Daphnia pulex: one gene and its partner. The protein of the gene in region 2 purifies or fractionates together with the protein of the main gene of each other region. This does not show direct contact. Links are inferred from orthologs where the notes say so. Each region holds a gene or a part of one and is shown on either strand. Other genes may lie near its edges. The genes, in order: GATA zinc finger domain-containing protein 1-like and PHD finger protein 12-like.

What was found.
Region 1: the proteins of PHD finger protein 12-like (region 2) and GATA zinc finger domain-containing protein 1-like purify together in Homo sapiens (affinity purification with mass spectrometry; 7 studies listed by BioGRID and IntAct, with this or other methods). This does not show direct contact. The link is inferred for Daphnia pulex from reciprocal best matches to the Homo sapiens genes PHF12 and GATAD1.

The regions. Positions count from the first base shown.
Region 1 is NC_060026.1:11,475,656-11,479,113, forward strand, and holds GATA zinc finger domain-containing protein 1-like, read left to right. Parts: upstream 1-1,530; 5' UTR 1,531-1,647; coding exon 1,648-2,067; intron 2,068-2,151; coding exon 2,152-2,401; intron 2,402-2,456; coding exon 2,457-2,620; 3' UTR 2,621-2,831; downstream 2,832-3,458. Other genes in the region: F-box/LRR-repeat protein 4-like, read right to left, coding at 2-127, 224-485, 544-739, 792-921, 987-1,150, 1,216-1,222. UniProt on the Homo sapiens protein: Component of some chromatin complex recruited to chromatin sites methylated 'Lys-4' of histone H3 (H3K4me), with a preference for trimethylated form (H3K4me3).
Region 2 is NC_060017.1:4,332,887-4,337,431, forward strand, and holds the start of PHD finger protein 12-like, read right to left. Parts: upstream 3,072-4,545; 5' UTR 2,923-3,071; coding exon 2,875-2,922; intron 2,803-2,874; coding exon 2,609-2,802; intron 2,543-2,608; coding exon 2,473-2,542; intron 2,411-2,472; coding exon 2,062-2,410; intron 2,000-2,061; coding exon 1,885-1,999; intron 1,819-1,884; coding exon 1,689-1,818; intron 1,622-1,688; coding exon 1,451-1,621; intron 1,394-1,450; coding exon 1,286-1,393; intron 1,217-1,285; coding exon 1,020-1,216; intron 954-1,019; coding exon 826-953; intron 758-825; coding exon 551-757; intron 488-550; coding exon 371-487; intron 301-370; coding exon 218-300; intron 146-217; coding exon 1-145. Other genes in the region: importin subunit beta-1-like, read left to right, coding at 3,335-3,389, 3,580-3,638, 3,722-4,132, 4,189-4,341, 4,416-4,545.

The DNA of each region.
Region 1 (3,458 bases), on a different chromosome or scaffold from region 2:
CTTTTAAATTCACTGAAGTGAAGAGCACCGAATCCTTGCATATTTTATTGAATGAGGTCGAGACGCATGCTAAAGAGCACAAGCTGTGAAGATCCAAAAATGAGAGTATTATGCGTAAAATTTCTTCCTGTTAAAAAAAAAAAAAAAAAAAAAAAAAAAAAAAAAAATACTAAATAAAGCAGTAAAAAGAAACAAGATCAACTTGATGAAATTCGGTCCTCACGGGTAATTTACTGAGATGGCAAATAGTTGAGGATTGCGCTGGGACTTGGTACTTAAAACAGAGCCGTTGTATACTTTCGATTGCATTGAAGCCTGGCACTAAACGATGGAGCCCCAATCCAATAATTTTCGTAGATAATCCTGTGACACAAAGTTTAAGCGATTCTTCAAACGGAGGATAGGTTTCTGTTCCAACCAGAAGAACAGCATCGATCTCTGGATAATAATCGGCCAAACTGCTGTCTATTTCAACTCTAATAATGCTAAAGAAATATAAAATAGGAATTTTGCTGAAAAAAGAAGCTAAACACTCAGTTCTACCTAGTCAGAAACTGTAGATGATGAGGTTCAGCAGAAAATATCTGTGAATGCTTCAGAGACTTTTTCATATGATTTTCATGAAACAATTTCCAATTTCCTTGGCCATCACCAGCCCACAGTCGTCTCACACAACCAGAGTTATATGTTTCATATACATTTACACAGTATGGATAGACAGGTTTTTGAAACAGGATATCTACATTTAAAGTATGTCAAAAAAGTCCCTAATTGTAAAATGAATGAATTACCAACAAAATCCTGTCCTGTTATGAGAACTTCAGTTTTTCCTTTAGAAGGTGAAATTACTAATGTTTCTTTCCACCATGGCCCATATGTTCTCTGAAGAACAAATGTTTTTTTTTTTAAATAGACCTTCCTCTACATAGTCTTCAGAATATGCTTTTTATTTCACACTTGCACTAATAATTTTAATAAAAAAGTACCGGGACGTAGGTTTCAGGAAAATCTCCATATGCCGGATATCGAGAAGGAGGACCGATTAAATTGTTGGCTGTGTAAGACACTCCATTTATACTTCCATACTGTGAAGTGTAGTATGTCACCTTGCTGGCATACTGCTCTATGAAAATGAGGCCTTCACTATTTCCTAATAAAATCATATAAAATTGATTTAAATGTAGGAAAAAAAATGTTAACACATTTCATTCTCACCCAACATGAATCGTTCAAAATGTCTATCACAGATCAAATTTGGGGGATTTACAAAATATGATTCGGGGAGTCCAAAATACAAATATCTAGCAGAAGAATGGTTTTGTTTACAAACGGAAAATTCATTTTGAGCGCCAGCTAGCGTCTAGTTCTCTAGTAGTGATTTACCATCCAATCGATGGTAAATTTAAATTTTACTAAGACTTTGATTCATCACACCCAATTTTTATTTAAAAATTTAATTTTGCATTCAATGTTTAAACTATTTTTATATAAAATTACACAAGTTAGAAATTGCAATGTTGTAGATTGTTGTCCACAACTTAAGTAAAAGTCTTCTGCTTTGTAAATAAAAAGTGAAACAATTTTTGGGAGACTCGTTTTCGGTGCTAGTGCTATTTCAAGTAATAGATTTTGTTATTAACCTTAACCATGCCATTTGGAATAAAACCTGTTTGTTTTAAATGCGATATCAATATATCAGAGATATGGCAAAAAAACAACGAAGGAAATACAGTTTGCAGCGAATGCTTTCAAGGGAAATTGACAACAACCGTGAAAACAGAATCTATTGTTATAGAAAAGGCGCCTTCACCAGAAATAAAATTTCAAGAAGAAGATGCTTATAATGAAACTATTGAAGTGGATGATGTTGTTGTGGATGAACTTGTGGATGATATAAAGCCACGTAATGAATTTGGCCCAGGGACCAGGTCAGGAAACACAACTTCAAACAGTAGAGGTGGACGCACAGGAACAAAAAAGACACGTGGAAGAAGCAAGAAACTAGGAACTGCCAATAAAGCAACAGTTGGCAAAGGACGTGGAAGAAGAGCTGTTTTCAAGAAACAGGTTAAACAAATCCATAAATTTGATAGAAAAATTAAATAGATTTTTCCAATAACTTTTTATAAATTATTCCTTTTTAAATTTTAGCTACCATCTAAAGCCCCCACTGTTGCTTCTACCTCTTTTACTAGTGGGCATTTGTTTCATCATGACATTTATTATCAAGTGGGGGACATAGTTTCAGTCACAGATGAAGATGATGGAGTTTATTATGCACAAATTCGTGGGCTTCTGCAAGACCAATTTTGTGAAAAAAGTGCTGTATTAACTTGGCTCATCCCAACTCAAAGTTCACCACCCCCAGATGTGGGATTTGATCCACAGACATATATTTTAGGTATGTGAATTTTATATTTTTTTTTCTGTACAGCATTAAAACAGTCTTGGTTTAGGTCCTGAAGAAGAATTGCCACGTAAGCTGGATTATCTTGATTTCGTAATGCATGCGCCGAACGAATATTACAAACTGGATGAAAATGTTCGAGTGTCTAGTGAAAAAGAAGCTGGCTATATTTGGACAAGTATGGGTGCCGTACGAAGAACTATTCATTCATGAAAAATTCCACCAGGATCATCCGTTTATAGTAGAATAGAAAGACCAAGGCAGCCGGCTCTTTTGTTCTTTGTGTCTTTTAATGCCATTACAGATTCGTTTGTAAAACAATTCCATCATTTCTGAAGTTTGTAACTAAAAATATTTGTCACATGTTCTGCTACCTCACTGAAATTCGGAGGAAGAGTAAATTAAATTGTTTGATCTGTTTTAAGTGTTCTTTTCTAAATTTTTAAGAGTTTTCACAATTTTAGTAAGATATTTTCGAAAATTACATGTCGGAAATTATAGAAGATTTTTTTACCTGCTTGCACGGCTTTCTTAAAAATAATACTTGACCATTCCTGCATTACGGCTTGCCTTGCGGGTAACAATGTTTTTAGAAATTATTTTGTGCTGAAATTTTGAGCTGAAATATTTTCTAGTCTACCGGTAAAAATGTTTCGATTATAGTGGTAATAAACAGTTCATTTAAAATATAATGATATTTAAAAATAATATCGATAATGTTAATGAGTTTTTCAAACTTGTATAAGTTGTATGGGTTTTTATTCATTCATAATACTAGCGTCATTCGAACTAATAGACAATTATAACTTGAAATCACCAGCGGGAATTTGTTATTTTAATTTGAGTTTTAATTCAAAACCTTAAAAAAGTTTAAAAGAACTATAACAAATTCGAAATCGTATAGTAGGTTCGTCAAATACATCCATTTTGTCCAATGGGTTTCTGATTATCACCCATAGAGGGCCGTGATTCTGTGAAGTGATGAAGTCGTTTCAAAATTTGGCGGTTACATTCCTTAGTCCAACGGCCGCCACCGTCTCTTTGACATCCA
Region 2 (4,545 bases):
CCTGGAATGACGGTTTCTTCTCTTTGACATCTTCCGCTTCAGACTTGAAAGTGGTTGCATCCACGTCCACATCGCAGCAATACACGACGTTATCAACAACGGTTCCGTGCTCGCTATAGTTTAGTAACTCGAAATGTCTCGACATCTGTTTTTGGGTTAAAAGAAAAACGAACAATTACATAAAAGTTGATTGGCTTTAGAGTAGACATTAAAATACCTCATCGTAAAACACAGTAGAGTGATGTCCGGAAACATAGCTGCACGCACCGAACGTAGACAAGTTCAAATCCATGTCAGCACCTAACGCACAGAAATGTTTTAAAGAATAAAACCGATAATTCAACTATAGTTATGGAAGGGCAAATAATACCAGTGCCAATAGTAAGTCGGCGATAGTAGATGGGTGCTGGTGGATAAGCTGAGCTAAGAGGGCAGAGGAATGCTCTAGGCTGTCGTGGGAAGACATTCGTCTGGGCTTGACTACTGTCTATTGAATCGATAAGAGGGGAAGATAGAAAGTTGTTGATCCATTCGAGACTGTAATTCGTACAGATAATGTTACCACTGTCGGAAGCACTGCTGGCCTGAAGCCAAGGTTGTGGAATGACTGTAGACTGAGTGCTGCAACCAGAAGACATCATTCCAGGAAGAGGGAACACAGTCAACGAGCGAGATTCTGGGTTCAGGATTAGCTGCTGCACTCTTTGCATGGCAAGAGCTCTCACTGTTTCTTGATCCATTGCCCTTAGCAAATCATCTAGAAAATAAAAAGTTAAAAAAGTCATAATCCCGTTCTATTGCGGAGGAAAAAGTATTGAAAATTACTCGATAGCTGCTCCATAAAGACTTTCAAGTGACTCTCTTTCATGCCCCGCCTCAGGGTTCCCAAATAACTTTTGACATCTGCTTCGATATCTTGAAACTCTTCAGCAAACAAACCATCCCAAGAAGAGCTGAACATAAAAGACATTTCTGAATATTGAATAATCTGATGCGTTTTTAATTTGTGAACCACTCACGAGCTCGATCCTTCCACAGACTCTTTATCTCTCCGTTCAGGTAACGCAGTATCAAATTTTCCGACAGTCTCGCCTTCGTTTGAAAACATTGCTTCGCAGTCTGCTGCTATTTGCTGAGCATCCTCCTGAAGTCGTGATTGTTCTCTATCTTTGTTTTCCTCGTCTATTAATTCATTTTTATCGAATGATTTCAAATTCTGGAATTCGACGAAATGGTTAACAAATTAAAAGGGGAAGTCCAGATTTTGAAAGGAAAATGGACATACCTTCCGTGTTTCTGGGAGAACGGACGACCAGTAAAATGGTTGAGCTCCATTTAAACGCGCCGGAAGTAACGGTGGATGTTTGTACTGGTCCTTGATGATTTGTGGGACCTGCAAAATGCTTCGTTAGTTATTTTCGAAGATAAGAGTAGCATCTCTAACACTTACCCTCATACGAGGACGACCAGGTAGTGCGACCTTCCGACGAAAAGGCGGATTTTTTCGGTTTACTTTGCGGAGGAAATTGATTTTTACAGTTTCATGGTCAATGGGTCTCTGTAAGAACGACCAAAACTTCACTCGTTCGGAAAGTCGTGAATCAGGCAACAATTTATATTCCTAGTGATAAAGAATTCAACATTTCTGTGAGATAAACGGAAAATTCCTTTAAAAGGCAAAATATTACAATATTTTGAGGGTGATTGGGGCACATCCACTTGCCAACTGGCATGCAAACAAGGGGAGGATCCAGACAATCCAGATGGAAAACCAGGGGGCAAAAGTCACAGGCAACCATTGGCGCCTTGCGGCAACTCCTAAGAATTCGAAAGATGAATTTGATGATGTAACTATATTGAAACAGAAACCTGATTCAATCATACTTGCTGCAGTAGAAGCACGCTCGTAACGGTAATGGCACGAGCCCGTTATCAAGTTCGTGTGATTTTTTTTTGGGGCCAGATCCGGTTTTTTTCGAAATACACAATTTACTGGTACCTAGAAAATGGCAAGTTAATTAACTTGTTAATCAATTTTATCTAATATTGGTTTTAGCTTACCTGGAAAAGGAATAGGTTCTACAAGTTCTGGTGGGAGTTCGAATTGCTGTGGGTTCATAGATGCTGCTACTCTGATGAGAGGGGCAAAAAATGAGACTTTGCCCATATTATCAACAATGACGTCTTCTCTATCACTGGACTTTTCTGAACTAACTCCAGTGGTTTCTACATCAACATCATCCGAGTTGTTTGTTCGACGGCGACCAGATATTCTTTCAGGGGCTCCCTGACCACTGCCTACTGATTGAGTTGCTGAGTTATAAGGTCTTTTTCCAGTTTTACTGGAATCAGAGTCTGCTCCGTCATCCACCTCTATGAAATTTGTAAGAGGATTTGCAGCATCTTGGGCCTGAAAACAAATGTTTTGTTGGTCAATTGTTTTCTTTTAACTCTACACAAGTTTAAAATTACCTTTTTCATACGACAACTGTGACAGTTCCACAAACCTTTGGGTAAATCCGACTCCTCTAATGGAGGATCACTGAAACAGTGAAAACAGAATAATGTAAATATTAGAAATAAATTTGAATTGATGGTATTATTTTACTGGCATTGTAGGTGAAAAGATGCTGGGCAAGAGTCACAGCAAATGAGTTCACCTCCCTCTTTACAAGCATCACAACTATCGCGATTATGACCTCGTCCTGGTCGTCTGTAGTAGGGATGCAACGCCAATCCGTCTTTTCTCTTTTCTTTTGAAATATCTTCCAACAAAGGTGGTGCTAGTAGAGCTTGAATTTGCTGCATAAACAAAACACCGATCTTAGTCGACATCCATAAATGAGCATACAGCCGATTAAAGAGTGAACTTACTGGCATTAATCCACCCGATAGATCGAGATCATATTGAGAATTGGCCATTGCGTACAAGAAAATGTAATTATAATCTCACTAAATCCTAATGTTTCTATGCGAGCATCTTCTAAAGATGAAAACGACAGCAAGAATCAAGAAACAACAAAACTTTAAGTGTCGATTTGACTCGATGCTAAACAACATCTTTCAATCTGAGTTCCAAGAACCTAGCGGCAGCCAACAGAAGCTCAACATGCGAACCGGCGTTCCGTTTAAAAATCGAAATTTGCGGGCAAATGATCAGCCGAAGGCGACGACTTAAAAAATAATTGACAGTCGTTAGGCCTATTCTGTGTCATTTCAGAATTCAGATTTTAGTCATGAGTTATGTGTCGATTTTTAGATTTGACATCTCAAAGCTACTCGTGCCGTACAGTTATACAGTCACCGGCAGCCACAAGGCTCTAATTGTAAAGAAATGGCGAATTCATTGAAGTGTCTCATCCAGTATTTAGAACAAACTATTTCACCAGGTAATAAACAATGCAACTTAATATCTTTTCATTGTTGATATCACAATCTTACATTGCATATTACTTGTCTGCGGGGCTTTTTTGCAAAGTTTCTTGACTCAACATGTTACGACACTCCTACATATCATATTGCAGCTATAATATCACTTTCATTTTAAATCTTAAATTAATAAAGATGTATCATTTTCAGACAAGAATGTATTGGCCGAAACCCAATTGGCGTTGGAAAAGTATGCTCAGGATGATATGGTTAGTTTCAATAAAACAAATCTCAGTTTATTAGTACACCACATAATTATCTGTTACTGTTCTTTGTATTTTCATACTTATAGGGTCAATTTATTTCAAATATGTCAGTTGTAATTGCTGATCCAAACAACTCACCTATTGCTCGTCAAGCTGCTGGTCTCCAACTGAAAAACTGTTTGACTGTTAAAGATGTGACCCTGAAGAAAGAGTGTCTACAGAGATGGTCAAAACTTGAAGAAGAAACTCGCATGGCCGTGGTTGAGCGTTTGATTTCGACCTTGGGAACAGAAAACATTCATCCAAGTTGTGCCGCCCAATGTTTGGCTTACATTGCGGTAGCTGAAAGTCTCTTCCCGGGAACACTACAGCCTTCTTCTGAGATAACTTCTCTGGAGGATTTGCTTTCTGAGCTTTGCGACGTGGTCGTTCAACCAGCAAATGAACATCGAAAAGAGGCAGCCTTAGAGGCCATCGCCTTCATTTGTCAAGAAATTGTGAGTTAACTGGTTAATAACACATTTTTGAATGCTCTTAATGTTATTTGTCTTAGCACGTGCTCATTTTGGTCAACTCTTACACGTCAATCCTCCATTCCATACTATTTTGTATGGAGGACAGCAAATCAACTACAAGAATTCGTCTGGCAGCTGCTCGAGCTCTACTGAGTTCTCTGGAATGCATTTACCCGACATTTGACACTGAGGTATTGGGCTCAATTGCTTTTGTATTTTGTTTTTGAAAATTTTTGATACAAAATATTGAATTATTTATAAATAGGAAGGTCGAGATGCGATCATGCAAGTTGTCTGCGACGGCACACAATCGTCTAGCGTTGAAGAATCTCTGATTTGGCTACAAGTATTGGTAAAGATTGGCTCATGTTACTATCATCACTTGGAGAACTACA